Linked DNA regions of Notamacropus eugenii. The protein of the gene in region 3 interacts with the protein of the main gene of each other region in a pairwise test. Links are inferred from orthologs where the notes say so. Each region holds a gene or a part of one and is shown on either strand. Other genes may lie near its edges.

Evidence for each region.
Region 1: the proteins of EXOSC5 (region 3) and DMRTB1 interact in a two-hybrid assay, tested with the Homo sapiens proteins (2 studies listed by BioGRID). The link is inferred for Notamacropus eugenii from reciprocal best matches to the Homo sapiens genes EXOSC5 and DMRTB1.
Region 2: the proteins of EXOSC5 (region 3) and FCHO1 interact in binary tests that used the Homo sapiens proteins (3 or more experiments, as listed by UniProt). The two-hybrid records come from large-scale screens. The link is inferred for Notamacropus eugenii from reciprocal best matches to the Homo sapiens genes EXOSC5 and FCHO1.
Region 4: the proteins of EXOSC5 (region 3) and PEG10 interact in binary tests that used the Homo sapiens proteins (3 or more experiments, as listed by UniProt). The link is inferred for Notamacropus eugenii from reciprocal best matches to the Homo sapiens genes EXOSC5 and PEG10.

The regions. Positions count from the first base shown.
Region 1 is NC_092873.1:513,649,239-513,656,783, forward strand, and holds the start of DMRTB1 (doublesex- and mab-3-related transcription factor B1), read left to right. Parts: upstream 1-4,534; 5' UTR 4,535-4,643; coding exon 4,644-5,595; intron 5,596-7,314; coding exon 7,315-7,532; intron 7,533-7,545.
Region 2 is NC_092875.1:68,369,365-68,376,570, forward strand, and holds the start of FCHO1 (F-BAR domain only protein 1), read right to left. Parts: upstream 3,001-7,206; 5' UTR 2,894-3,000; intron 1-2,893. UniProt on the Homo sapiens protein: Functions in an early step of clathrin-mediated endocytosis. Has both a membrane binding/bending activity and the ability to recruit proteins essential to the formation of functional clathrin-coated pits.
Region 3 is NC_092876.1:29,841,083-29,848,271, reverse strand, and holds the start of EXOSC5 (exosome complex component RRP46), read right to left. Parts: upstream 3,003-7,189; 5' UTR 2,917-3,002; intron 2,417-2,916; coding exon of another isoform or gene 2,208-2,416; intron 2,206-2,207; coding exon of another isoform or gene 1,996-2,205; intron 1,994-1,995; coding exon of another isoform or gene 1,777-1,993; 5' UTR 1,721-1,776; coding exon 1,585-1,720; intron 616-1,584; coding exon 502-615; intron 1-501. UniProt on the Homo sapiens protein: Non-catalytic component of the RNA exosome complex which has 3'->5' exoribonuclease activity and participates in a multitude of cellular RNA processing and degradation events.
Region 4 is NC_092874.1:504,133-510,325, reverse strand, and holds PEG10 (retrotransposon-derived protein PEG10), read right to left. Parts: upstream 2,259-6,193; 5' UTR 1,832-2,258; coding exon 878-1,831; 3' UTR 508-877; downstream 1-507.

The DNA.
Region 1 (7,545 bases), on a different chromosome or scaffold from region 3:
GAGACAGAGACAGAGACAGAGACAGAGACAGAGACACAGAGAGAGAGAGAGAGACAGAGAGAGGGAGAGAGAGAGAGAGGGAGAGAGCGCGATCTCACCTAAGGAGACTTTGATCATAGGGTTAATTTAGGTCATACATATCTGATATAGGCTACACATGCAATGATATAAAATCTATTTCCATATTAGTTATGTCGTGAAAGAAGAAACAGCTTGCAAGAAAATGCATTTTTTTTTTTGCAAAACTTTATTTTTTTTGTTGTGAACTTGTGGAACATTAACAAACATTCATTTCCATAAACAAAGAGCAGGAAACCTTGAATCTGTCACAGACGGTGACTTTTGCTTGAAAACTATAAAAACTATAGTTTTCAATATTTATATATTATTTATATATAACATTTAATAAATATATTTATAAACACATAATATAAATTAAAATATGAAAACTATAAAACTTTTGTTTTAAAACCAAAAAACAAATCTATGATAATTTGAATAGTGCCTTGCTTTTCTGTATCCTTCTGAACTTTCTGCTGCTCTCTTCTGTGAAATACTTTAGAAATATTTCATTGACTTTATTTTATTTCCTTGTAGTGCAAAAGATGCTAAGAAAGGAAAAACTGTCCCTGTCCTCAGGGGGCATCTGTTCTGAGGGGAGGGCATGTGTGCGTTGCCCATTTAGATTATGTGTTTCCACATCAGTCTGTCTAGTGTGACTTTCAGGGAGATGTGAATAGATATCTCTGGGGTCTTTTCCACCCACCCTTCCCTAAGGAAGACTTTGATTCCTGTCAGGAGGGGAATAGGAAATTGGGGCCACAAGGCTGACCACTCTCCTCTCCTTAGAGAAGGGTTACTAGGCTAGAGTTATAACTCTAAATACTAGGGGAAATAATGTTTAGGTTCAAGCTGTGCTCTGATCCCTATCCTTCAATAGGGGAAAAGCATCCAAGCTCTACATCTATACTTCAAGGCTTATCTCCCTTCCTCCCAAATGCCAGTTTCACAGAGAGCACACATAGCAGATAGAAAATAAACTCATCTATTAAAGCCAATATTAGGCAGAACTTATAGATGTTATGCAGAGGAGAGTACGCTAGATAATACACAGAATGAAAGAGTTGTCCCATGGGGAGAGAGGTTCAAAGATATGAGGGGGGGAGAGAGAGAGAGAGACAGACAGAGACAGAGACAGAGACAGAGAGACAGAGAGAAACAGAGACAGAGACAGAGAGACAGAGAGAGAGTGCATAATCTCACCTAAGGGGAAATTTCCCAAAGTCTCTGGTGTGGTAAGCTAGGGATAGGGACACAATGAAGGTACAAGCTTTTCTACATGTTGAGCTGAAGAGACTCAGGAGTAACATATTTTCTTTCTGAAGCTGGAAAAAAGACCTCTCAAGGTCTGGTCCACTCTGACCCTCAGCTTAAACACAGTACACTGAATAATCAATCTTGGACGCCCAAATGAAGAATCCCCAATTTTACTTGTTTTGTTGAAGAGGATGACTTCAAAAGAGGTTAAAGAACTTGCCCATGGTCACTCAACTAGTAAGGAGCAAGGGCAGGATTTGATTTCAGGTCTTCTGGTAGCACAACTCTGGAGCTCTCACCTCTACACCAGGTTTAACTGGTGACCATCACAAACGAAGTAACTCCTCCTAGAGTTCTCCAAAATATCTGTGAATGGTCCCACTAGGGAGGACTTAGAGGGCATCTAGTCTGGGCTTCTCATTTTCCAGACAAGGAGACTAAAGCCCAGAAAGAGAAAAGACCCATCTAAGGCACCCAAGATAGAATTAAGCCCAGGTCCTCTGGTTTCCACTCCACTATTGGTTCCTACAGGAGTAGACTGACATTTCAAAGCCTGTCGCGTTGGGTATTCAGAATGTCAGAGACTGGGTGAGCTGGGTTCATTAGAACTAGATCCTGCTGCTGGGAAAGCTGGTTGTGAAACACTTTATTGTTGTTTCTCACTCATTTTTCAGTCACGTCTGACTCGGTGTGACCCCATTTGGGGTTTTCTTGGCAAAGACGCTGGAGTGATTTGCCATTCCTTCTCTAGCTCATTTTACAGATGAGGAAACTGAGGCAAACAGCATGAAGTGACTTGCTCAGAGTCCCATTCAGACCCTGAAATTTTGGAGTCTTTTAATTAGTTGTTCATTAATACTCTCCAAGTGCAATGAAAATTCACACCGCCATATGACACATTTTCCTGAAACCCATGGAGTCAACATGGGAGAAATTTGTAGCGAGGGAAGGCAAATCCTTTCTTCTCTCACCATCCAATTCCTTCTTCCTTACATTTTGGAAAAATGACTTACTAAAATGGTGGTTAGAGAGGTGGCACTGGAAGCAGGAAGATGTGTTCAGATGTTGGGTTCAAATTCTGACTGACACAAAGGGGCTGTGAGACCCTAGGCAAGTCATTTAATGCTCAGGGATTCGCGCATCTTCCTAACACTTCAGTTGCAGAGAAAATGCTGACCTGCATGAGTAGAGGGAGTTTTCTTACCTGGGAGTTCCCTGTATCCATATTATCTCAGGTTTGGCTCCTCTCCCTTAATATTTAACCTAAACAATGCATGCAATAACTTAAATTTGTTTTGCAACTTAAATAAGTGAAATTCAGCCTGTAAAACATCATGACTTGTCCGTCTTTCCCTCCCCCTAGATCTTTATCAGGGTTCTTTCTCCATTCATACTAATTCACTTTCCCTCTTAGATGACTGAAATTAACGCGGACTTCATTCTTCTGTTTCTCTGTCTATTTCCTTGTATCCTCATACATGTAATTGACTTACAGTTTCCCATTACACCAAGGTACCGCCATGTATTCACTCATTCCCTCACTGTCACATGTCTGGGTTGCTTCCAGGTGGAGTTTTCTGGTTTTGTGGCCACACAGTCCTGCCATGGAAATCTTGGGACTCTTATTTTTATTTTTCAAAAAGAAACAATTGGGTCAAAGGGGATGATTACTTTTGTAACCTTTCCTATAAACTGCCAGGTTTTATTCTGAAAAGGTTCTGAGTTTGCAATACCGCCAGCAACAAAAGAGTATGCCTGTTTCTTCGCAGCCCCACCAGCACCGACTTTCAGGTTTTGAGAAATTTGCCAATCAATCTGTCAACAAGCATATTCAAGAGGCTACTTTGTGGAGAGTGCTACAAGCTGGAGCTACAAAGGTAAAAATGAAACTACCCACACTTCAGTTTTCATCTGTGAAAGAAGGGTGGAATCCAATTTCCAAGTCACCTTCTGATTTTACCCTTCTATGAGAAGAATTAAAATCCAGTTCAAGAAATACTTATTCAGCAGGTGGGAAGACTTGCTCAGTGTAAGGGGTAGAAGAATGGGATAAGATAAAGGACCCAAGGACTTGTAATGCAAGGCAGAAGGTGAGAAGTACAAGGAAAAAGTGTAGATAAAGAGTCAGAAATCCAGAGGCCAGAGGGCTGTTATCACGTGGGAAGGACCAAGGGAGATGTGCTAAAGGGGCTGGCCTAGACTCTGGGCCCCCTCCTGGCTCAGGGATGCTGCGAGGCCGGGTCTGCCCTTGAAGGTGCCCATCCTCTCTGTCCCCTCGGCTAGGCAGCCAGGGGTGACCTAGAGCCTCCCCCTCAACACCCCTGCCCGGTCAGGGCCCGACCTGGGGCTGCCTCTCGCCGGACGCCCTCCCCGGCCCCCCCCTCCTGGAGCACTACCCCGAGCGTCACTCACTGCCCCCCTCCCCCTCCCTGTCAGCGCCAGTAACAGCAGGGGTCCTCGTCACCCCTCCCCCGCCCCTCCCCCTGCTCCGAGGCCGGGCCTCAGCCTGGGGATTCCCGCCGGGACCAGGCCGGGCTGAGGGATTTCGACCTCGAATTCCTTTAATGTTCGGGGATAACGCTCGAGGATGGACGGACGCTTGAGAGGCCTGGGCGCTCGGCGGGCTTGACGGACGGACGGACGGACGGAGGGACAGACGGAGGGACGGACGGACAGAGTCAAATAAAGAAGAGGAAATAAACCTAAATCTAAACATTATAATAAAAATTAAGAAAGGATAACCAGTCCTGAGCTGCCCCGTTCCTCTCTTTGCAAATCTTAGTTTTGTATCTCCTTTACCGACTCCGTCTCTGCCACGTATTTTTATAAATGTATGTTTTCATGCATATTATTTATACATACATGCGTATGACTGTGCGTACAGGTACATGCACACACGCATGTGTACTGCCTGCACACCGTAGGCGCCTACTCAGTGCTCGTGGCGTAACGATGGCGGAAAGGCTTCTCTGGGTCCAAGATGGACGCCCCAGGGCTGCTCTGGGCAGGGCCTGGGGGCCGTCTGGTGCCACGCCTCTGTCCCACACAGCAGGGAGGGGCAAGCCTAGCGAGGGCCGGGGCGGTTCGAGGCCTGCACCCGCGCTCCTCTGCACCGGGCCCAGCCGCCGTGCCCCCTGGGGTGCGCGCCTCACGGGCCCTTCCAGAGCTCCCAGGCGGAAGAGGTTTCCTAACTTGGGCCGAGGGTGGGGGAGGGGGATGCGCGGCCCAGACTGGCAGAGGGAGGAGGGCTCCACCCCTCCCCTCCCCTCCCCCACCCGGACGTCCCCCATGCCGCAGCCAGCTCCCGCAGCCTGGAGGTGAGCGCGATGCACTCCTCCGGCCCGGACGCGGCGGAGGCGGAGCGCGCCGGGCCTCAGTTTCCCCCGCTGACCGAGCAGGAGGCCGGAGCCTGCGCGTGCCCGGGCTGCCCGGCCCCGAGGAGCACGCAGGCGGCGCGGGGCTCCCCTGCGCGGGCTCCCGGGGTGCAGGGGCCGCTGCACCCGAAGAAGGGGCTGCTGTGCAAGTGGTCTGCGGAGGCGCCGCCTTGCTACAAGTGTAGCCACTCGGGGCACGCGGGGCCCCCGCCCCAGTCCCAGGAGCCTCCGACGGCACCGCCTCCTTCCACGCCGCCGCCGCCGCCGTCTGCGCCCGCCAGCCCGGGCGACGGGGCCATGAAGACGGAGCCCCCCAAGGAGGCGGCCGACAAGATGCTGCGCACCCCGAAGTGCTCGCGCTGCCGCAACCACGGCTTCCTGGTGCCCGTCAAGGGCCACGTGGGCAAGTGCCGCTGGAAGCAGTGCAGCTGCGAGAAGTGCTACCTGATCACGGAGCGCCAGAAGATCATGGCGGCGCAGAAGGTGCTCAAGAGGCAGCTGCACGACGGCGACGAGCCCGACGAGCCGCCCGCCGAGCCGCTCGGGGGCCCGGGGCCCGCGCCCTGCGCCCGTCCGCTGCCCATGCCGCTGCCCATGCCCGGGCCCGGGCCCGGGGACGCCGGCCCCGACGGCCGCGCAGGCCCCTACGGGAGCGCCCGGCCGGGGCCCTCGGGGCTCTTCGAGCGGGGCCCCGGGGGCAACGGCGGGGGCGGCCCCGGGGTCGAGGTGGCCGCGGGGGGCAGCGCCCGGGGCTTCGACGGCTGCTTCAAGCCCGGGCCCCGGCGGGCGCTGCCGCTGCCCATGCCCATGCCCCTGCCGGCCCCGCCGCCGCCCCCCCCGCCGCCGCCGCCGCCGCTCAGCGCCTCCACCTCGGCCTCTGCCAGCCCTCCCTACGGCGACTTCGGTAAGGACCCCCGACGGGAGCGCGGGACCCTGGGGACGGAGGGCAGGGGAGGCCGGGGCTGGAGCGAGGCCTAGTGACCGCGAGGGACGCCCCGTGCGGGCCGCTTCTGCGCCTTAGGGAGGGGGCCGGCGGTGACTCGGGAGCGGCCCGGGCCCCCCTCGCTCCATCCCCCCAGAAAACGCTCCTTTCCCCGCCTTGCGGCCGGCCGCTTCAAACTCTGGGCCTCAGTTTCCCCATTTCTAAAAAGAGGATTGGGTTAGAAAGATGGCTGTCTGCCGTCTGCCCTCCCCTCCCCCGAACCGGACGGCAGGGACCGAGGCGTCCCCTGGGGAGCAGTGCGGGGCCGGGGGGGGGGCGCCCGACCGAGCCTGCCCTTGATGAAGCTGGGGGAACCGAGGTGGGGGGGGCGGAAAAGCGGCTTTGTGGACCCAAGCGTGGGGGGGCGGCAGGTTTATTTAGTGCGAGTGTCTCGGTGCAGTTCCGGGCTTTGGAAACGTGGTATTGGGGGGGGAGGTTCCGGACCGTAGCGGCCCCCCCTGGTTTTACAGGCTGGGAAACAGGCCTGAGGTCACTCTGTAGTAGGTAGGCTGCTTCCCCTCCCTCCCTTCTCCCTCTCCTCTCCCCTCCCCCTCCTTTTGTCCTCCTCTCCCCCTCCCCCTCCTCTTCTCCTCCTGCTCTCCCCCTCCTCTCCCCCTCCCCCTCCTTTTGTCCTCCTCTCCCCCTCCCCCTCCTTTTGTCCTCCTGCTCTCCCCCTCCCCCTCCTCTCCCCCCCCCTCCCTTTGTCCTCCTCTCCCCCTCCCCCGCCTCTTCTCCTCCTGCTCTCCCCTCCCCCTCCTTTTCTCCTCCTCGCCCCTTCCTTTTCTCCTCCTGCTCTCCCCTCCCCCTCCTTTTCTCCTCCTCGCCCCTTCCTTTTCTCCTCCTGCTCTCCCCTCCCCCTCCTTTTCTCCTCCTGCTCTCCCCTCCCCTTCCTTTTCTCCTCCTGCTCTCCCCCTCCCCCTCCTCTTCCCCTCCCCCTCCTTTTGTCCTCCTTTCCCCCTCCCCCTCCTCTTCTCCTCCTGCTCTCCCCTCCCCCTCCTCTTCTCTCCCCTCTCCCTCCTTTTCTCCTCCTGCTCTCCCCTCCCCCTCCTTTTCTCCTCCTGCTCTCCCCCTCCCCCTCCTCTCTCCCCTCCCCCTCCCTCCCGGGCTCTGTCTACTACGCTCAACTTGATACAATTCCCACGCAGTAGTGGGGGAGGGGGGCTTTTCTTCAGTGCCTTAAGTCGTACCAGACCTTTGATACGCACGAAGCCCTTTCCACTACGACCTCGTGCTCTAGGTAACACGGGTATCCATTCGCCAGGCTAAATACCATCCAGAGTGTCTGTGATGCCATCAGTTTATTAAGTTCATACATGGGAATTTCAACCCCTAATGTTCTGGAAAAGCTAGGACTTGGAACCAGAAGGCCTGGGTTCAAATCCCATCCCAGCTACCCTGGGCCAGGCTTTGATGGGACTCTTGTTTCCTTGACTGTAAAATGGGGGCTGATGTGATGGGTGCTTTGGCCTCAAAGATCTAGTGGGAGGAAAATGCTTTGTAAACGAACTTTGGGCTCTGTGTCAAGTGAATTTCCCCTAGGAACACTGTCCTTGGATAGTTAGTACCCGTGTCTTAGAGCTTCACTACATTTGTAGGTAACTAGGGTTTTTTGTCTTTCCCCTTGTTCTTGTCTTTATCCAGGGCACCCTTCCAACATTGCCCCAGAGTGCGTGATGGGACCTGAATATCTGGAGAGAGAGCAGTCTAAAGTGTATCCTGGTTATGCCAACATGTACCACTACCGCCCATTCCCACTGGGCAGCTACCGGGGTTCTGCTTCTGCCCCAGGGATACCCCTCCAGAGGGGCTTCCGCCATGTCTCCAGCAACCACGGAGCAGGGACCTCTTCTTCTTTGCTGGTGAGTAGAGGAT
Region 2 (7,206 bases), on a different chromosome or scaffold from region 3:
GAACCCCAAGGGCACAAGCCTCAGCCTCCCAAGACTGGTGATTGTCCCTTCCGCACTTGTCCTGAATTCGGATCAGGGCTCTACAGAAGGAGTTCACTGCAAGGGAGTATTATCAAAAAAAAGGGGGAAACTTCAAGTAATAAACTGTTTGGGGTTCCAATGGGTGGTGAATAATTGTACTTCCCTTCCCCTAGAAGAGAATATGCCTCTTCCTGAGGCAGTCCCAGGAAGAGATGGGTCAGAACAGACCTCCAAGATTCTGGAAAAGTCACAACTGCCCAGTATTTCCCTCGCTAGCCACTCCGATTATGTTTGCAAGATTCCATGTTTGCAAGGTTGAGGTCCCCAGAACCGAACCAGAAACGGCACAAGCTTCTTCCACTGCCCTAAACAATGACCCAGAGCCAGGTAGTCTGGGATTTGTCTGGCCGCACCATTCCCAGGGATAATGATGCTCGAGGTCAGGTGGGAGGGAGGCAGGAGCTATCCAGCTTTGCCGGATCGGGAAAACAGCCATACTTTAGAGGGGGGAGGTGCATGCCAACCACACCCAGAGGCCAAACCTGCTCCCAGGCTTGGGTGCATAGCCTCCTCAAGGCATAGACCTGGTATGTGGGTCAGGAAACACCCTATGGGGGTGAGGATGTCGGCCAGCAAGTTCCCCCTCCCACAACCCAGGTGGGGTTAGGTGAGGGCTGGAATCTCTCTTGCCTCATCTGCCAGTCAGAGAATGTAAGGGTCCTTAAAATGTCACAACTGGACTGGGATGTTAGAACATGGAATATCAGAGTGGAGACAAAATGTCAGAGGTGGGAGGGCCTTAGAATTTGGAATGTCAGAGCTGAGAGAGGTCTTTAGAATATGGAATATCAGAGCTGAGAGGGCCTTAGAATATGGAATGTCAAAGCTGAGAGAGGCCTTAGAATATGGAATATAAGAGCTGAGAAGGACCTTGGAACAAAGAAGAGACTTTAGAATACAGGATGTCAGAGCTAGGAGGGTTCTAGCCCTCATTTTACAGAGACTGACAGCTCACATTTTTCTTGTATTTTAAGGTTTATAAAATACTATTCTCAAAACAACTTTAAAGTGTCGGTAGCTGAAATATATGTATGTATATGTTTGTATGTATGTGTGCGTGTATATCATAGTCTTATGAGACTTAGGACTCACAGATCATTTGCCCAACACCTCCATTTTAAAAAAGGAAAGAGACCCAAAGAAATGACTTCTCCAAAGCCACACTGACTGTGAGTGAGACAATCACCTCCATTTGCTAGAGATGGTCAGGCTCAGGCCCATCTTCCTGAATTCAAATCTGGCCTCAGACACTTACTAGACCCTGGACAAGTCACTTAACCCCATTTGCCTCAGTTTCTTCATCTGTAAAATGAACTAAAGAAGGAAATGGCTAAATTGCTCAAGTATCTTTACCAAGAAAACTCCAAAATGGGGTCACGGAGAGGCAGATACGATAGAATAACAAGCCCATGCCCAGGGAGGGGAAGCATTTGTCCAAGGTCACACAGCTCTTAGTATATATCTGTGCTAGATTTCGTCTAGTAGTCTTTAACATAATGACTTTTATAAGTATTGACCTCACAGTAATATATTATTAGTGCAAGGACTATGAGCCCTATTTTACAGACATGGAATTAAGGCTCAGAGAGGGGAAATAAACACATCAGAAGGGGACTTGAGACTAGAACCCATGTCTCCGGAGCTCTTGGCCCTGAGCTTGGAGGTGGAGGTGGCCATGGAGAAGAAACACTATGGCTGTTGAACCTGTCAGGGCTGAGGCCCCAGATGCCCTCCGAGTAAGACTGGGTGATTCTCAGAAGACAGAGGTAACAAACCCAACTTCTGTCTATCCCAAGGGGATAGATGCTAAATGGGGGTGGTGTAGAGCACGCCACAAATCCTAAACCCTAATCAGCCAAGCTATTCTCTCACCCCGATCACCCCCCAAGCTTGGGCTCAAGCCAGATGCTCACTACCAGGTCTGCCCTGGGAGAAAGGCAGGTTCTTGGGAGGATCTGCTGCACGAGAGCGTGCACGCGCGCGCGCACACACACACACACACACACACACACACACACACACACACACCCATGGCATCTTCCTCCTCCTCCTCCTCCTCGTCCTCCTCCTCTCCCCCAGAGCTGCTGGGTACAGCTGCCAAGTCGGTGAACAGAATAAGATCTGATTTTTATTTTAATCCCTGGATCAGATGCTCCGCTGAAGCTGACACACAGCGGACACGGACCCCGCGCCAGCCTGCCAATCCCTCGGCCCCAGCAGGGATGCCCCCAGCCTCAAGGGCAGTAGCAGCCCAGTCTCAGGCCTGGGGGGGCTGACCCTCGCACCCCCGGGCCAAAGCCGGGCCTCCGCACTGCCCAGGTTCCGCTCCCTAACACGCCGCCCTGGGGGCTCGCGCAGGCCCCGCTGTCTCCTTGAGCAGGAGGGCAGACGGCTGACGGCCCCTTTGCCCATCGGTCTGGCAGCCTCCCGGGCGGGGATCTGGGTGGGCGCGAGGGGGATAGGTACCGGAGGGTGGGGTCGGCCCTCCTCAGGGAGAAGGGCGGCGATGGCCGCTCCCGGGCAGGGACGAGAAGCTATTGTTGGGGGGATGGAGAGAAGGGGCTTCAGGAGGGGGATGGAGAGAAGGGGCGACGCTCCTGCTGGCAGGGTCGGGCCGGCGGGCACAACGGCGGGGCCGGGGATGGCAGGTCACGGCTGGGGAGGGGGCGCCGCTGCAGGAGCGGGGTACGGGGGGCGGGGTGCGGAGCCGGGACACCGGGACCGGCGGGGCGCGAGCCGTGCAGGAGAGGAGGTCGCAGCGAGAGAAGGCACCCGGGCGCCCTCCAGACCCGCGGAGTCAGCGGCCACTCACCTCCCTGAGGCCCTCGCAGCGTCCTCCTCCAGCCGGCGCAGCCACCTGCGGCTCGGGGCCCGCCGACGCCGACACTGACACCCGAGCGCGCCGGGCATCGGAGCCCCGCCCCTCTCTGGCCCCGCCCACAGGCGGGCGGAGCCCACGCAGCCTCCCCCTCCACCCCTTCGCGCGGAGCCGAGGACCCAGCTCGGGAGGGGGCGGAGCTGCCCGACACTCCCCCGCGATTGGTACGTTTTGAGCGTCGGCTCTCGTAGCTTCATCTTCCGATTGGCTGAGCTCAAGAAGGCGGTCTGTCTCCCTTGGAGACACTGGAAACGATTTGCATACCTTAAAGAGATCGCTCTTTCAAAAAAATGATGCCCAAGGGCCAGCCCCTTCCCCAAAATTTGAGATTGTGAGAATTACGGCTGCGGCTGGGAAAGCGAATAACCATCCCTCCCGCTCCGGATCCCGAAGCAGAGGTCCAGGGGTATTCTCCATCTCCCCAAGACACTTTTTCAGGGCCATTTCCCCACAAGCAGCTCTTCCACAATGGGAGGTCTGCCTCCTACGGCAGTGAGCAGCCCCTCCCTGGAGGTGTAAAAATGGAGGCTGGATGACCTCCTCAAGGATGCTGAGAACAGGGAACTTGGGGTGGGAGGGGGCTAGGATGCCTCGGAAACTCTGGGCACCATCATCCATCCGCAGGGAAGACAGCAGAAAAACCCTGGACCAGAGCCTCTGCCTTCGACTGTGCCATCCCTTACCTCCTCTGGACCTCAGCTTCCCCATTTTCAAAAAGTCTGGTCTCGGCCATGTCAGGTTTTGTCTTGAGGGCCCTCCTATATACAAAGGCAGTGAGAGTGACCCCCAACCTTGTACGGGTGAGATCACCTTTTTACTTCAAAGAAAGCCATCTAGGTAGCACAATGCTTGACTGGGAGTCGAGATTCCCAGTTCAAATCCAGCCAAAGATCCTTATTAGCTGTGTGACCCTGGGCAAATCACTAGCCTGTCTGCCTAAGCTTCTTCATCGTTGTAAAATGGAAATGGCACATGCATCTCCAGGTTGTGAGGATGATAACGTCATGAAGCAGTTGTGTTGAAAATGTATCTTGTTCTGGTACCCCCAGCCACCCATCTAGTTACTATAGTAAGTTTTTAAGTAGCTAGCAATAGATTGCAAATGGGGGAACCAATGGTCTCATAAATTAGGAGTGCATGGGAGCCGCTGGGAACTGCCTCATAAATTGACTAAGGCTACTTTCTGAGAATGTGAAACGTAGGGGAAGCCAGCTAGGCCTGAATGCAATGGCCCCTGGGTCCAGCTAACTGCCCCTGGTCTGGAAGCTTCAGATAAGCTGGGGTCAAAACAAGCAAAACGCTCAGCTAACGAATTAAGCTGAAGGTGTTGCTGATTACTTTGAGACAATGTGGGTGTTAATAAACTACACCAAAATTGCACGGATATGAGTTAGTCCACCCCTTCCCCAACCCTAGAAAATGGGACCCCAATCTCCAGCCCCCTAGCACTCCTTCCACCTACTACAGGTCCATCCCGCCCGAGTCCCCACAACTCCAATCCAAGGTTACACAAGGGCCCCTCTCCCTCCCCAGGGCTCTTTCCCACCAGTCTACCTCCCTCCACAACTACACTTTATCACTTGCCTCACTACTCTCCATGTCTTGAAGCATTATTCTCCACCTGCTGCCATCATGGTCTTTCCTGGCAAGTATCCACAAAACTGGGCATGCCTGCTCTCCCCAACCCTCTCCAAGGGACCCCCTGGGGGCCCCATTCCTTTACTCATAAATTGGAAACATCAAGACTACGGTTTTATGCTACTTACAGCCACACCTAGAATCTACCATGAACAAGCATGGCGGAAAGCAAGGGTGGGCACCTGGATCTTGTGCCCCTTAGATTCTCCCTTATCTGGGGCACAATCAATCAATTAATATTTCCACAAATTAATAAAGTTATGCTATATAAACACTAATATTTTTAAAATATCAAAGTATAATTGAACTACTAGCAACTGTTGATTGAGAAAATATGACTAGATATAGACTTGCCCTGGAATAGTGTCAAGGTGCAAATATTGGGAAATACTTCATTTTTTTCTCAGCTCTGACACCCTTGTGTTCTAAGTTCCCTCCCAGTTTTGGCATTCTGGGATCTAAAAGCCTGGCAGGGGAACTCATGCAGCATCTTTTCAAGTCCATACCATGAACCACATCACTTGCCCCAATTTTCTTGAGAAGTACTCATGTGACTTTTGCTGAAGGCTAGCCTCCCTTTGCCTCATCTGCGGCTGCCCACCCATAGCTCCTGGTTTGGCCCTGGTGTGAAACAGGGTAAGTTGATGCCCTCTTGCCCATCTTGGCAGCCTTGCAAACACCTTCCTCCCTACATCTTTTCCAAACGAAAACTCCCCACACCCTCCAGTCGACACTCTGGTTACCCTCCTCTGGATTCTTTCCAATTTATCAATGCCTGCTCTAAAATATGAGATCTAGAATACTCTAGTGCAGATGTAGTCCAGCCAGGGCAGACTTTCCAACTCCAGGATTCTATGGATTCCATTTTTCTATGAGCTTATGGTTTCTTTCAATTTATAGACAAGGAAACTGAGGCCCAGAAAGCTGAAGAGATTTACCCAAATGGCAGACTCAGGATTTGAATCCAATTCTCTTCCAACTCTAAACCTCTCCTTCCTCTCCTCTAGGCCACTGCCTGAAGGTTCGCTCCCAGGATTGCCGAGGGCATCAGAACAGACAAACTTCAAACCCCAGTACCTTCTCCACGTCCTGCCCCACCTCCCAGACTCCTGGACCCAACCCAGGCTAGTTTATTTTTAGCTGGGAGCCCCAGATAGGATGGTGACCAGGCAGCTGTCAGGATTCCTGAGCAGTCCAGAACATCCTCTTCCCCTGCTTCCCCCAGGACCAGGAAGAGGCCCACCTAGGGTCCCAGAGCTACTGAAACAAAGTGACAGAGGCACAAAAATACAGGGGGCGAGGGAGAGGAACAAAGTGATCAGGGGCCATGATCAATACCTTCTTCATACCAAAGGATCTAGGGAGCAGGCATGGTTGGTGGGGTCCCAAAAGGCAGAATTAGAGTCAATGGGGAGTGAGGCAATTGGGATAGTTCTTTTTAGACATGGGGAAACTGAAGCCCAAAGATGGGTAGGGACTTGCCAAAGATCACAGAGCAACTGGAAACACAGCCAAACCTGGAATGTGAGTTTCCTGATTCCCTATTTTTCCACTACACCAAGATGAAGCCAAGAAACTCAGGTCTTAAGTCCTGGCCTGGCCCCTCTCCTGTCTCATGACTTTGGCTAAGTCTCTTTCCTCTCTCTATGCCTCAGTTTCCCCACCTGTAAAATGGGGAGAAAGACCCACTCTGCTTTGAGGACACAGATTGTGGCAGCAGGCCCAGTTTTTTTCAGGTTGTCATAGCAACACCTCCAATTCTCCTCCATCACCAACCTGGCATCTGGTGGGGTTGTTTCTGCCCCATGAGTTCCCGCTCCCTCCATCCCTCCACATAACCTAACAGTACTTTGGGGCCCTGAGCTCCCTGGAAGGAAGCTCCCCAGAGTGGGCCCAGGGCACACTGCTAGAATCCAGCTCAGCACACAGCTGGTCCTTCACCCAAAGAAACCACCGTACTCTTGAGGGAGGACGGGGAGTCTGGTGGGCAGCTGCCTGGCCTTGGATCAGATGACCTGCATTCAAATGCTGCCCATTGCCTAGATGGCCGTGGGTAACAGGACCTCAGCTCCTCATAAATGAGAATGACATCACCCCTCCTCACCTGGGGCTGCTGGGAGGCAGAAACATAAAGTCAGTACAGTATTTGGCAAACCTTGGGGAGGAAAGCTTTACATAGGCGTGGCTATTAGTAGTAGTATCTTATCAATAATGGTAATAGTCATCATCACTGCCTCTCTCAGCCTGTTTCCTCTTCCAGAAAGGGAGGGGGTTGGTTTAGATGACATTAAGGTGCCTCCCAGCTGGAAATCTAGAAGCCTGTGATCAAATACCAGTTCTGCCACGGCTCTCTGTGACCTTGGGTAAGTCACAACTTCTGTGGAGGTTAAGTGACTGAACTCCTGTCTTCTCTTCTCCAAAACAAGGAGGCTGCACTGCACCATTTCAATGTCCCCCCCCAGATCCAAATCCTGTGATCTTGAGGCCAGAGGGGAAAGTGGGGGCATGTGAGTTTGGTAACGGGTGAGGGAGAGAGGACAAGGAAGGAGAATGGAAGATGGTGAAGTTGGGGTGGGGGGAAGAAACTCAAGAGATGAAAAAGCCACCTG
Region 3 (7,189 bases):
GCGGAGGGAAGGGAGGGAGAAAAAAATTTGGAACTCAAGATCTTACAAAAGTGAATGCTGAAAATTATCTTTACATGGAAAAAATAGAAATTTTACAAAATAAAAGCTTTCTTTCCTTCATCTTTACAAACACAGGAGGAAGGCACACCTCTTCTCTAGGAAGTCACAGCTGGGCAGTGTTTACAGAAGAGGATTACAGAGCACCTTTCGGTTCCTTCCCGTTTCACTGCGGCCTATCCTGTTCCCAGCTCTGCCTGCCTGGTCTTTGCATCAGTTCCTGGAAGTCTTCCCAGGCTTCTGAACTCTTCCTATTTCTCACCATGCTGGATCCATGCTCCAGTCTGTTTTCACCATCCCCTGATCACCAGCAGGTGATCTCTTCTCTGCCCCCGGCTCTAGGCTACCACACAAGCAGCCCCGGACAACATCCCTGTAACATCAGCTGCTCCCTCAGTCTGCTTCTGGCGATGGGGGAGGCGTCCCACCCCCTTCCCTGCTCACCAGGCAGCCCTATTTTGGGCTTCAGAATCACCTCCAGGGTGGCTTTGTTGAAGATCTCCTTACTGACTTTGACCTCTGCCGGACCATAGACTCCAACGAGGACCGAGGTGTCACCTGCAGAGAGGGGTGCAGAGGAGGAAGAGGCATTGGCTCCGGGAGCACCCCCACCTCCCTCTATATGAGACGCCCTTGATGACAGCTAAGGCTTCCGGTGACACCACCTGAAGTCAAGACTCATCTTCCTGAGTTCAACCTGGCCTCAGACACTTACCCTGGGCAAGGCTGCCTCAGTTTCCTCATCTGTAAAATGAGGACATGGGGAAGGAAGTGGCCAACCACCCCAGTATCTCTTCCAGGAAAAACCCAAATGGGGGCGAGAAGAGAGTTGGGAAGGACAAGATAAGAGCTACGGAGGGCTGACGTGCACTTCCCAAGTTTCCCGTTGGCTCCTGACAACAACCCCGTTACATAAATGTTATTATGACCCCCACCTGACAGATAAAGAAACTAAGACCGGAAGGGGTTCGTTCCACCGGCCAGTCCGTGTCAGAGGCGGGATGAGAACTCGGGCCTTTTCCACTGAAGCCCGCGGCTCCCCACTCCCTGCGGGTTTCCTTACCTCCAGCCAGCAGGGGAGGCCTCGGGGGTGGGGACGGAGGCTGGAGACCCGCCCCGCCAGGCCTCTCCGAGCGAAGCCCGAGGCCACAACACGAGGCTGCGCGGGGCGGGGGGCGGGGCCTCACTGGTCCGGGAGCTTGTCCCGTGCACCCCGAAGTGGGCAGGCCCCGGACAAGGAGGACAACGGGAGGCCCCCAAAGGGCGCATTTTACCAACAGCCCTGATCCCGCCCCGGCCCGTTGGAGATCGCTATTTATACGGGCACCTACTGACCCACGTGCGGGGAGTAAATGGGGTACCTGCCCCTCTCTTGTGCTGAAAGTGCATTCGCCTCCAGAAGGAGGAAAAGTGCTTATAATTTACTGAGGAATGGTGGCCCCCCCCCATCCCTCACGGTGGGCCCGAGTATTTAGCCGGAAACGGGTATTTACCCGGAAGCAAAGGTTCGGAAGGATGGCACCTTACCCTGCAGGAAAGAGGCGGAGCCATCGGGTCGGGAGAGCAGGTTCTGTTCGCAGGCGAAATGCCGGAGGCTGCAGCCGGAACCCCGCGAACTTGGATCCGCTTCGGGTCCGGCGCTAGGGGCGAACTCCGTCTCCATCTCAATCCACGTGAAGGCCGGCCAGTACAAAACTACTTCCGGGATGGCCAGGGCGCATGCCTGAAGGTCTTGGGGAGCATGCGCAAGCAGTTTGTTTGTTTGAGCACGTGGTTTCGGCTTATTTCAACCTCCCTCCCCACCTCCTCTGGACTGGCGGAAGAGGGCGCGTGAGCCATAATCGCGACGCGCTTGCGCGAAGTTTGTTTGTAAAGGCTGGATTCCACGTTTTCCCTCAGCCCCGCCCCCGACCTAGGCCAGAGGGAACTATTAGGTCGCTGGAGAGAGGAGGCGGAATCAAAATGGCCCGCGGTCGTATCCCAGCCCCGGGGAGGTGAAGGGGCGGGGCGCGCACCAGGACCCGGGCTCAGAGGGCTGGCCGCACTTCCGCCTGAAGGCGCCGCCGCCTCCGAGGCCTCTGAGGCGAGGGACAGAGCTAAGGGGGAGTGGCGGACCGGGGCTGCCTCCCTCGCGGGCCGTCCCGGGTGGCTTGGAGGCGGGGCCGGCTCACGTGGGGCCGTGGGCGTGGACAGCTTTTTAGGCGATGGACTTGCCGGCCCCGGAGAGAACCTGGGTGGCGGTCGCGGAGCGAGACGGTTAACGGCTTCAGTCAAGATGGCGGCGGCGGCGGCACGAGCCTGGGCCCTGCGAGGGGGGCTGGCCTTGGCCCGGCGGGGCCCTCGCGGATTGGCGGGATCCGTGAGTGCTCCCGCCCCCGGACCCCGAGGGGAGCGCCAGGAAAGAGAAAGAGACCCCTCCCCTCGGGAGCCCCTGAGAGAGGGATGGGGAGACCCCCCCAGGAGAGGGGGGAGCAGGGAGACCCGAAAGGCTGGGGAGGATTCCCCAACTCCCTGCAGTCCTGCCCCCCACCTGGGTGACCTTCGGCGGGACACCTCTTGTCTCTGGGCCCAGTGTAGAATGAAGGGGCTCCTGCGGACTTTCTGTGGTGCGGGGGAGGGGCAGGGGGCTGGCCCCGGGGAGCCCTGGCCCTCCTGGGAAGCAGGACTGGGGCAGAGGGCCCCAGGACTGCCGGAGGACCAGGGCAGGGTCAGCCTGGCAGCGAGAAGGTCTGCTCCCAGCTCAGTGGGGATGCCTCCACTTGTTTGTGCGGGAGCTGGGCAGGGACCAGGTGCCTGCTGCTCATTGGCCGGGCCAGGGGGCGGGAGGGAGGCCGGGCCCCCTGGGCGGGGGAAGGTCACCTGGTCTCGTTTCCCAACCGTCTGTCCCCAGGCGCTGTTCCTGTTCTGGTCTTTCTGGTTCCTTGGTGGCGGGGCTCTTTCTGGGCTGGAAAGGGAGGGAGGGCTTGGTGGCCCCCGACCAGCATCATGGGGGCGGGGACTGAGTCCACTGCTACCTCCTCCCCTTGCTGGCCGGGTCATAGTCTTTCTGAGCCTCCTGGGCTGGTAAACCCCTGGCAGAGTTGGGGAGAGGGGCTTCTTTGGGGTCTTTAGGCTGTGTCTATAGTGATCAGAGGCTGGGTAAGTCAGAGGGGGGTGGGAGAATGGGGCTGACAGTGTCTGTTGGGTTTGGGTCAGCCTCCTGAAGTTGGCCCAGTCCTTCCAGGGGACCAAAGCCACAAGATTCAGCCCCTGACCCAAGGTAGTCTCAGTACAAAGATAGTCCATCTGTGAGACTGAGTCATTTATGGACTTTTTTCCTTAGGTCCCTTTATCTTTGAGACCTTTGAGATCAACTCCTTCTTGCATTTTTAAGATCCGCAGATCGATAAAGTGAATTTTAAAAACATGAGATAGTCCTTTGTAAGCCTAAAAGCAGTATAGGAATCTTAACTGGAGTTTCCTCATCCCCTCAGCTCATGGGACAGGCATCACCGAGAAGTGGGGGGACCAGGAGCTTCCATGGGGTGGGGGCTGGGCTAGGCATGGGCCCTTACTGTGCTTCAGTCTCTACCCCGATTCCCAGTGATTGTGTGTGTGTGAACTAGAGGTTGGCTAGGGAGGTGTGAGTGTGCACACTCAAGTATCTATGTCCAGGTAAGGGAGGCTAGTCATACTCACTGGGACTGGGGAGGAAAGAGACCTCTTTAAGAGACCTTCCCATGATGCTCACACACACACACACACACACACACACACACACACACGAATAGAATGTGTCCCTGTGGGCAGTGGCGGTAACTGTCAGGGCAGGATGAGGGGAGCTGATGGAGTGGTGACATTCTGTCTGTGCCCATCCAGCCCCAGGGTCTCAGTCAGCACCTAGAGCCTCTGGCTGCTCTCAGGCCACCCACAATCTGCAGTCTTCCATTGTCCTGGCCAGTTGTCTCTGGTAACTCTTTCTCTTGGCACAGGCACCTTCTTTCTCATCCTTTGAATACCCTCTGTTACCACAAAAACATGAAGCCTTTGACCTTCAGTTGGTTGTGAACAAGTCACTTCATTCTGAGCCTCAGTTTCCTCATTTATAAAATAGATTGTTGTAAAGATGAGATCAGACGATATGTGTCAGGAGTTTTACAAACTTTAAAGCCATACACAGAGATGCCATTTGTCCCTTTGAATCCAGTGCAAGCTCTGCCCTGGCATTGGAAAGGCCTGAGGATATACTGAGGTGATGGATGGAAATGTACTCTGAAGGCAGAGACCAGACTAGGTGGGCCATGTGCTGGTGCCAGTGTTGCTGATACCAGAACCCAACAACAAAACCAACCAGTGGGGACGAGTTTGCTGTGTTTGAGGGCCTGAAGAAGGTCCCTGGCTATGCATTGGGAGGCAGCTTTAGGGAAGACCATTGTAAAGTGCCTGGCAGGGGCAAGGCTGGGCAGGAGCCAGTTGACCAGAGTTGTGTCTCTGAGGGAGTGTCTGTCTGGGCCAGACTGGGCCTACCCTCACCACCTTCCATTTGGGAAATTATCAAGCATTTCCCATGTGCTGAGCACTGCAGTTACACATGTAATAAAAGAATGTTTCTGCCTAAGGGCATCGAGGCATGGGGGTGTGAAAGAGAAGGGCAGAGGAGGGCAGGCTGGAAGGCAGGCTAGAAGACCGGCTGGGCCACTGGTGGTGATAATAGGATCTTCCTCCCAGGGTTGTTGTTTAGAGCAAGAAGGAAGGAAATAAGAATTCATGAAGCGTCTGCTGTATGCTAAATCCCATTTGGTCTTCCCTGTACCAACCCTGGTAGGGAAGTAATATAATTATCCCCTCTTTACAGTTGAGGAAACTGAGGCAGACAACGTAAGTGACTTAAAGTTATACAGCTAGCAAACAGATCAGGCTGGATTTGAACTCAGGGCTTCCTGAATCTGGGCTCAGCATTCTACCCACTGCATCCCTAAACTCTTAAAAACCTCCTGGGACTCCACCTGTTTAACTTTATAAATAAGGAAACAGAGGTCCAAGGAAGTTGTAAGGATTGACCACAGTCCCCTGGGGAGAAGTGAGGCAGCTGGTGGTACGGTGGTTGGTGCCCTGGGCCTGGTAATTCAGCCTCACACACAAGCTTCATGATCCCAGACATGTTACTTTGCTTCTGCCTGCCTCGTTTCCTCACCTGTTGAATGGGGATTATAGCCCCTCCCCTCTGGGGTTATTGGGAGGGTCACTAGCTGTTAATTGGCAGAACCAGGATTAAAGCCTGCTTCTCTCTAAATCTAGTATTCCCGCCAGGACACACCCATGCCCTGGCACCCATCTGCCTTTTGTGGAAAACTGATCTATCAGTTCTGAAGGCCTCTAGGCCTTGTCTCTACTTGTCCTGGGTGGCTGGAGGCCAAACTCCCAAATAAGCTTCCTGAGGGCAGGCTTCTTCCCCATAGAGCCACACCTGTGTGACCAGTTCTGCTGGGCGCACAAAAGGGCATTGCCAGGGATGGCTGCCAGCTCCCTAACTAACTGGGCAGGAAACTCCAGTGGGTATTGCCTCTTTTGGGAGGCAAGATGTGAGCAGGGCTGCAGCCTGGGAGGGACCTCAGAGGGTGACTGGGCCAGTGTGTCAGTGGAGAGGAGGCCCCTTCAGCAGCATGCCTGACAGAGCTCACTCCTTGCAGAAGCACAAGAGGTTTTTGCTGATATTTGAGGGAGGTGCTTGTGGGGGCCCCACCCTTCTGACACATTTGTCCTCCCTTCTTCTCAGGCCGCCCATTGGCAGCAGGAAGATTTCTCATCCCTGGATGAAAAACCCCAGTTCCCTGGAGCCTCTGCTGAGTTTGTGGATAAGCTAGACTTCATAAAACCCAATGTCATTTCTGGCATCCCCGTTTACCGGGTTATGGATCGCCAAGGACAGATCATCAATGCCAGCGAGGACCCTCAGGTGATGACCTTGCAGGGGTCTCATGGCCCCCTAAGCCTTTCCCCCAAGCCCTCTGCCACCAACCACACCCTTCCGCTTGCTCTGTCCTCAGCTGCCTCCGGAGGTGGTCCTGAAGCTGTACAAAAGTATGACCCTTCTCAACACCATGGACCGAATCCTTTATGAGTCCCAGAGGCAGGTAAGTGGGGTCCAGCCCTCTGGGAAGGGGAACCACAGTTAGACACACTCCCCCCAAGGCCATTCCTGGGGTCAAAAGAGTCATGGGAGCCCTTGGAGCTTGGGGAAGAGACCCTGGCAGGGCAGACTGAAGCCTGTAGCCTCAAGATGCAGGTACTCAGAAAGCTGACTTCTGGGAGCCTGCCTTAGAGGGTAGGGGAAGAGGAGAGAATGTCTTAAAGGGGAAAAAAGGACAGGAGTCAGTCTGAGACCCAAGTGGGACAAGAAACCCCGGGCTGCCTGAGGTCCTCTTCTGGAGGCTGACAATGGGTGGCTAAGACAGTAGCCCCCATTATGGAAAGGTGACTGCTCAGTGCTGGGGCTATGGGGGATTCCAGAGAAAATGTCCGACCCTCTGGATCTCTGGGGCCCAGCACAGTGTCTGGCTCAGAGTCAGAGCTTAAAGGAGCAGTGACTGGTGGGCTGGTGCAGCCAGAGAGGGAAAAATGAAAGCTGTGTGTAGAAGGATGGGGAGGTTCCCCACTTTCTCTGACAATGTTCTATTTGGGCCCTCCTTTTATTCTTTTCCCCTTCCTCCATGCAGGGCCGGATCTCCTTTTACATGACCAACTATGGGGAGGAGGGCACTCACGTGGGCAGTGCAGCCGCCCTGGATGACACAGACTTGGTGTTTGGGCAGTATCGGGAGGCAGGTATGTCCTCTACCCACATGAGCTGGGGCCTAAAGCTGGAGCCAGGGTAGTTGGGCAGAAAGAAGGAAGACCATATGAGCCTATCATGGTCCTTCCCAGTGCTCCAGGTGCTGCCTATCCAGGACCTGTAGGGCAGAGGCAGCCAGAGAAAGTGGGTGCAGACTGCAGCAGGAGGGAGGGAGCCAGAAGACTCCTCAAGATCAGCCCCCACTGGGCAAGGAGAGGAGAAGGTGTCCGTGCGGATCTCCCTAGCTCTGAGGCGGGCTCTCCAGCCTCCTTGATGCAGGGGACCAGCTTTCTTCCTTTGCTGGGCTCAGGGAAAGCATAC
Region 4 (6,193 bases), on a different chromosome or scaffold from region 3:
TTTCCATTCATTTCCCTTCCCAACATTGACCAGGTGGTGTACCCTGCTGGGGACCTGGTCCTGTAGATGGGGGCTGCTTGGAGCTGGTACAATACGTAAGGAGTTGAAGGTGGTGGATACTGGTTCCAGACGGCAATGGCATTTGGGTTTTGAGAATCATTGCAAAGATATAGCTCTCCCACTTTCTTCATGATGACAACTGGGGCCCCCAATGGGGAGGCCGGCTGGACACAAACCCATTTCACATTCTTGGCCAGGAAGTCTCGGACAGCCATCAGTTCTGGGTCCGACACTGCGTAGGGGTAGCCGGTGGGGGCTACAGTGTAACTGTACGGTGCGTGGTATGGGATGGCTTCCTGGGCCATCGGCACAAGAACTTCCTGAACGTCCATTCCTCCAGGGACCAGGCTCGGTGCCATCAGCAGAGCAGCCCGACAGTTGTGCTGGCAATACTCTGAGTCAAAAACGATGGTGCGGGAACTCCACATGATGGAGGGGTTGTGCTGGGTGAGCCACCGCACCCCCAGAACCACAGGGAAGAAGGGGGACTGGGTCACATCGAAGGAGAGTCTCTCACGGTGTTCCCCAATGTCTACCACCAGCTCCTGGGTTTCCTGGGTCACTGGGCCAGAGGCCAAGGGCCGTCCGTCAATTGCTTCCACCAGCACCGGCCAATACTTAATCTTTACTGGGATTCCAGTCTGTGCAACGTAATCTTGGTCAATAAAATTGCCGGAGGCACCGGAGTCAATCATGGCGCGGACGGTACAGTAGGAGCCGTCCGGGAGATGTAACGTGATCAGTAGTTGCAAGTGAGAAGATGACGCGTCATCTGGGGGGGACCTTTCTGGTTCAGGCCCGGGCGCTGGGGGTCCCTCTACAGCGGGGCCAGGGAGTTTCCCACCCCAGAAGACTTTGGCTTCTTGGATGGACAGTTGTCCACGTAATGGCCGGCCAGTCCGCAGTACATGCACAGGTTCAGTCTTCGGCGACGTTCCCTCTCTTCTGGGGTCAACTGAGGCCGAGTGACCAGCTGGTTTGATTCCGACTCGACTGGAGGGGACGAGGCGCTCTGGGGCTGAGGAGAGCTGGCAGGAGATGCCCCTCTCCGGGAATTCAGCCTTCCCTCAATGCGCAGACACTGGTTGATGAGTGCGGGAAGCGATCGGGCCACCTCCACGCGAGCGAGCTCATCTTGGATGGGATCACTGAGGCCCTCCAGGAACTGGTCGATGAAGGCCGGCTCATTCCAGTCCAGGTCCTGGGCACAGAGGCGGAAAGCACTGGCGTAGTCTAGGACGGAGCCGAGGCCTTGGCGGAGACGCCGGATCTTGCGGTTGGCGGCCTCTTTGCGCTGGGGGTCCTCGAAGGCCTGCTTGAACTCATCGATGAAGGCCTCATAGTTGTTCAGCAGAGGACTGGACTCCAGTAGGTAGGGGGTGGCCCAGCGGGCCGCGCGCCCCTTGAGCAAGCTGGTGAGGAAGCACACGCGGACGTGCTCTGTGGGAAAGTCTTCAGGCCTCAGCTCCATGTACAGGCGGCTCTGGGCCAAAAAGCTGGGAAGCATCTCGGGGGTCCCATCGAACTTCTCAGGGAGGCCGACGGGGCACTTACCACGAGGGGCAGAGAGGCCCATGGCCCCTACCGGGGTGGCCTGGAGCTGTCCCCGGAGGTTGGCATTCTCCTCTGACAGCTGGAGGAGCTGGGTCTGCAGGGAGCTGTTCTCCTCGGTCTGCTGGAGGAGCTGGGCCCGCAGGGCCTGGACCTCAGCTGTGAGGTCCTCCATCCTGCAGCGGCGGGCCGAAGCACCGGAACCAGTGCTGGTTGGCATATTCAAAGATCCTGGGAATCAGTGTAAGCACGGTCAAAGATGCCCCGGGGGTGGGGCTCAATCACTCTGGCTAGACCAGAATGGGTAGAGACAGTAGGCAAGGGACAGTGGAGCTTGGCCAGAGAGCCCCAAAGAGAGACCCAACAGACCAAGGAAGAGTCCTACTGTTTTAGAGTCCACCACCAATGAGAAGAAAGGGCGACGAGGCCAAGAGTCAGTTGGTCAGCTGAGGCTCCAGTGAAAGTCCCCTGGCAGCCCCTGAGGGCTCCATGCCATACCTGGCCAGTTCAGATAGGAAGTGATCTGAACCAGTACCTCTGAACGGTTGAATCACATTATCTAGCTGGCAGAGTGTGGTTGGTCTGGGCACAGGCTGTTGTCCTTCTGCAGAGGTGCTGACCTCCTCCTCCGGGAGCCCTCCCCCCCACCCCAGGGTGGGGGGTCTGGTTTGACGTGACTCCCAGATCCGGCTGCTCCCTCGCACTCAGCACTTGTAGGTTCTACTGTCTGCTGAAGGAAGTCCAAAGTCACTGGTGCCTGTGAATAAGGAAGACAGAGAATGTCAGCTGAGCTAGAGGCATGGAGGAGACATGGAGAGGAGCAAGTCTGTGGCACATGCCAGCATCAGATCACAGAAGCAAAAGACAGAAAGTATTCAGAGACTCTGATCAAATGACTCTAGAGGGAGAAGACTCGAAGGAGGTGGGGAGGGGCTGGGAGGCTACTGGAGGGCAGTGTTGTGAGGGGGCTCCATTGGGAGAAGACTGAGACTGGGTCATAAAGATGGGAAGGGGGCTTGAAGGCAGAAGCCTAGAGCATTGTAGGTAGGCTGATGGGATCATTGGAAAAGGAAAAGGGAAGGGGGGGTTGAGGTTAGGTTGTGGGAGGGGGAGAGGAGGTGGTATTCATATAGGACACCTGTAGGTTGTGAGGAGGGGGTCCTGAGATTAGAAGAGTTTAGTGATGAGGGGAGGATATTGGAGGGCTGGATTATAAAGGGATGGGGAGGGGAGTGGCATTGAGAGGGGGCTAGACTCCAAACAGAAAGGGGTGGACTTTGAGTCTGCAGGATTACAGTAATGGGGGGGGGCCTGGGAGTGGCAAAATATTGAGAGAAGGGGGAGGTGATGCTACTTGGGGGAGCTAAAATCTTAAAAATGAGGAGAGTGTTTGAGGATAAAAAACTATTTAAATGAGGGTAGGTTTGGGGGGTGGGCTAGATTAAAAAAATGAGTAGAGTTTGAGATCAGAAGCCTGTAATAATAAAATCAATCAAATCAAATCAAATCAATACAAAAATAAAAAACAGGGGGTCTGCATTATAAAGAGAAGGGGAGGGGGCTTGAGATCAGCAGACTCATTGAGGGGGGTATAAGGAAGGGAGAGATAAAAAGAAATGGGGAGGGGGTTTGAGGCAAGAGGGCAACAGTATTAGGGACAGGTTGTAGGAGGGGGGAGGTGTTGATGTGGGAGGCCTGCAGTAATGAAGGAGGCTGTGAGGGGCTAAAAGACCCCCAAATGGGGAGGGGGCTTGTGGTAATGAGGGGAGGATGTGGGGGGGTTTGCTAAGATGTTAAGAGATGGGGGTAGGGTTTGCAAACCCTACCCTAGGGAAGCAGTAGGGGCTGTTTGTGGCTGGAAGGCCCCAGCAATGGGGGCATATTCCCAGGAGTGGAGCCTGAAGAGCTGCAGTGGGCTCTGAGATTGGAGGAATGTGGCAATGCAGGTAGCTGGTGGGAGGTGGGGGCTCTGTTACAAAGGGATGGGAAGGAGATTCAACAAAGAAGCCTGTAGTGATGGGGGTAGGTTGTGGGGGCAGATAAGGGGGAGGGGGGGGGGGCTAAGGTTATAAGACTTTAGGAACAGGAGGAGCATCAGGGGCCTAGATATCAAATAGACTGGGAGGGGTTAAGCCTAAACTTTAATGTGCTGGGGAGGGGATTGGCTTCTACAGGACCATAGTAATGAGGGAAGGTGGTGGGAGGGGTGGGGGCGCTCGGGGAGGTGATGCTAGACATGTATCGTAAGAAGAGTAGGTTGGGGGGTAGGGCTCAAAATTTAAAAATGGGGAGGGGGTGTGATATTGGATGACTAGTAATGAGGGAGGGCTGCATTATAAAGAGATGGGGAGGGTTGGCAGCTAGGAGACTGTAGCAATGAGGGTAGGAGTCAGAAGACATGGGGAGGGGTCTGAGATCAGAGGATTGAAGTAATTAGGGTGGGTTGTGGGGGGGGCAGACAATAAATACGGAGGGGCATATGAGGATAGAGTGTGCATGTGGGGGGGGCTAGACAATATATAGGGAGGGGCACATGAGGAAAGAAGGTAGGTTGTGGGGGGCTAGATAATAAAAATGGAGGGAGGGGCACATGAGGAGAGAGGGTAGGGTGGGAGGGGCTAGATAATAAAAATGGAGGGAGGGGCACATGAGGAGAGAGGGTAGGGTGGGGGGGGCTAGATAATATATAGGGAGGGGCACATGAGGAGAGAGGGTAGGTTGTGGGGGGGTAGATAATATATAGGGAGGGGCACATGAGGAGAGAGGGTAGGTTGTGGGGGGGCTAGATAATACATAGGGAGGGGCACATGAGGAAAGAGGGTAGGTTGTGGGGGGGCTAGATAATACACAGGGAGGGTCACATGAGGAGAGAGGGTAGGTTGTGGGGGCTAGATAATATACAGGGAGGGGCACATGAGGAGAGAGGGTAGGTTGTGGGGGGGCTAGATAATATATAGGGAGGGGCACATGAGGAGAAAGGGTAGGTTGTGGGGGGCTAGATAATATACAGTGAGGGGCACATGAGGAGAGAGGGTAGGTTGTGGGGGGGTTAGATAATACATAGGGAGGGGCACATGAGGAGAGAGGGTAGGTTGTGGGGGGGCTAGATAATATATAGGGAGGGGCACATGAGGAGAGAGGGTAGGTTGTGGGGGGCTAGATAATATATAGGGAGGGGCACATGAGGAGAGAGGGTAGGTTGTGGGGGGGTTAGATAATACATAGGGAGGGGCACATGAGGAGAGAGGGTAGGTTGTAGGGGGGCTAGATAATATATAGGGAGGGGCACATGAGGAGAGAGGGTAGGTTGTGGGGGGCTAGATAATATACAGGGAGGGGCACATGAGGAGAGAGGGTAGGTTGTGGGGGGGTTAGATAATACATAGGGAGGGGCACATGAGGAGAGAGGGTAGGTTGTGGGGGGGGCTAGATAATATATAGGGAGGTGCACATGAAAATAGAGGATAGGTTGTGGGGGGACTAGATAATACACAGGGAAGGGCACATAAGGAAAGAGGGTAGGTTGTGGGGGGGCTAGATAATATATAGGGAGGGGCACATGAGGAGAGAGGGTAGGTTGTGGGGGGCTAGATAATATACAGGGAAGGGCACATGAGGAGAGAGGGTAGGTTGTGGGGGGGTTAGATAATACATAGGGAGGGGCACATAAGGAAAGAGGGTAGGTTGTGGGGGGCCAGATAATAAAAATGGAGGGAGGGGCACATGAGGAGAGAGTGTAGGTTGTGGGGGGGCTAGATAATATATAGGGAGGGGCACATGAGGATGGAGGATAGGTTGTGGGGGGACTAGATAATACACAGGGAGGGGCACATAAGGAAAGAGGGTAGGTTGTGGGGGGCTAGATAATAAAAATGGAGGGAGGGGCACATGAGGAGAGAGGGTAGGTTGTGGGGGGCTAGATAAAAATGGAGGGAGGGGCACATGAGGAGAGAGTGTAGGTTGTGGGGGGGCTAGATAATATATAGGGAGGGGCACATGAGGATGGAGGATAGGTTGTGGGGGGACTAGATAATACACAGGGAGGGGCACATAAGGAAAGAGGGTAGGTTGTGGGGGGCTAGATAATAAAAATGGAGGGAGGGGCACATGAGGAGAGAGGGTAGGTTGTCGGGGGGCACAGGAGAATAGAAGGTAGGTTGTGGGGGGGCTAGATAATAGATGGGGGGCACATGAGGATAGAGGGTAGATTGTGGGGGGGCTAGATAATATAGAGGGAGGGGCATATGAGGATAGAGGGTAGCTTGTGGAAGGGCTAGATAATAGATTGGGGGGCACAGAAGGATTAGAGGGTAGATTGTAGGGGGGGGCTAGATTTTTTAAATGGGGAGGGAGATTGAGATTCAAGGCCTGTAGTAATGAAAGCAAGATATAGGGGAGGGGACTAGAATATAAAAAGAAGGGGAGGGGGCTTGAGGCCAGAAGATTCATTGAGGGTAGGTAGAAAGGGATAATATGGCAAAGGGGAGGGGGTTTGAGGAACAGGTTGTGGGAGGGGGGAGGTGTTGATGTGGGAGGCCTGCAGTAATGAAGGAGGCTGTGAGGAGGGGCTAAAATGCCCCCA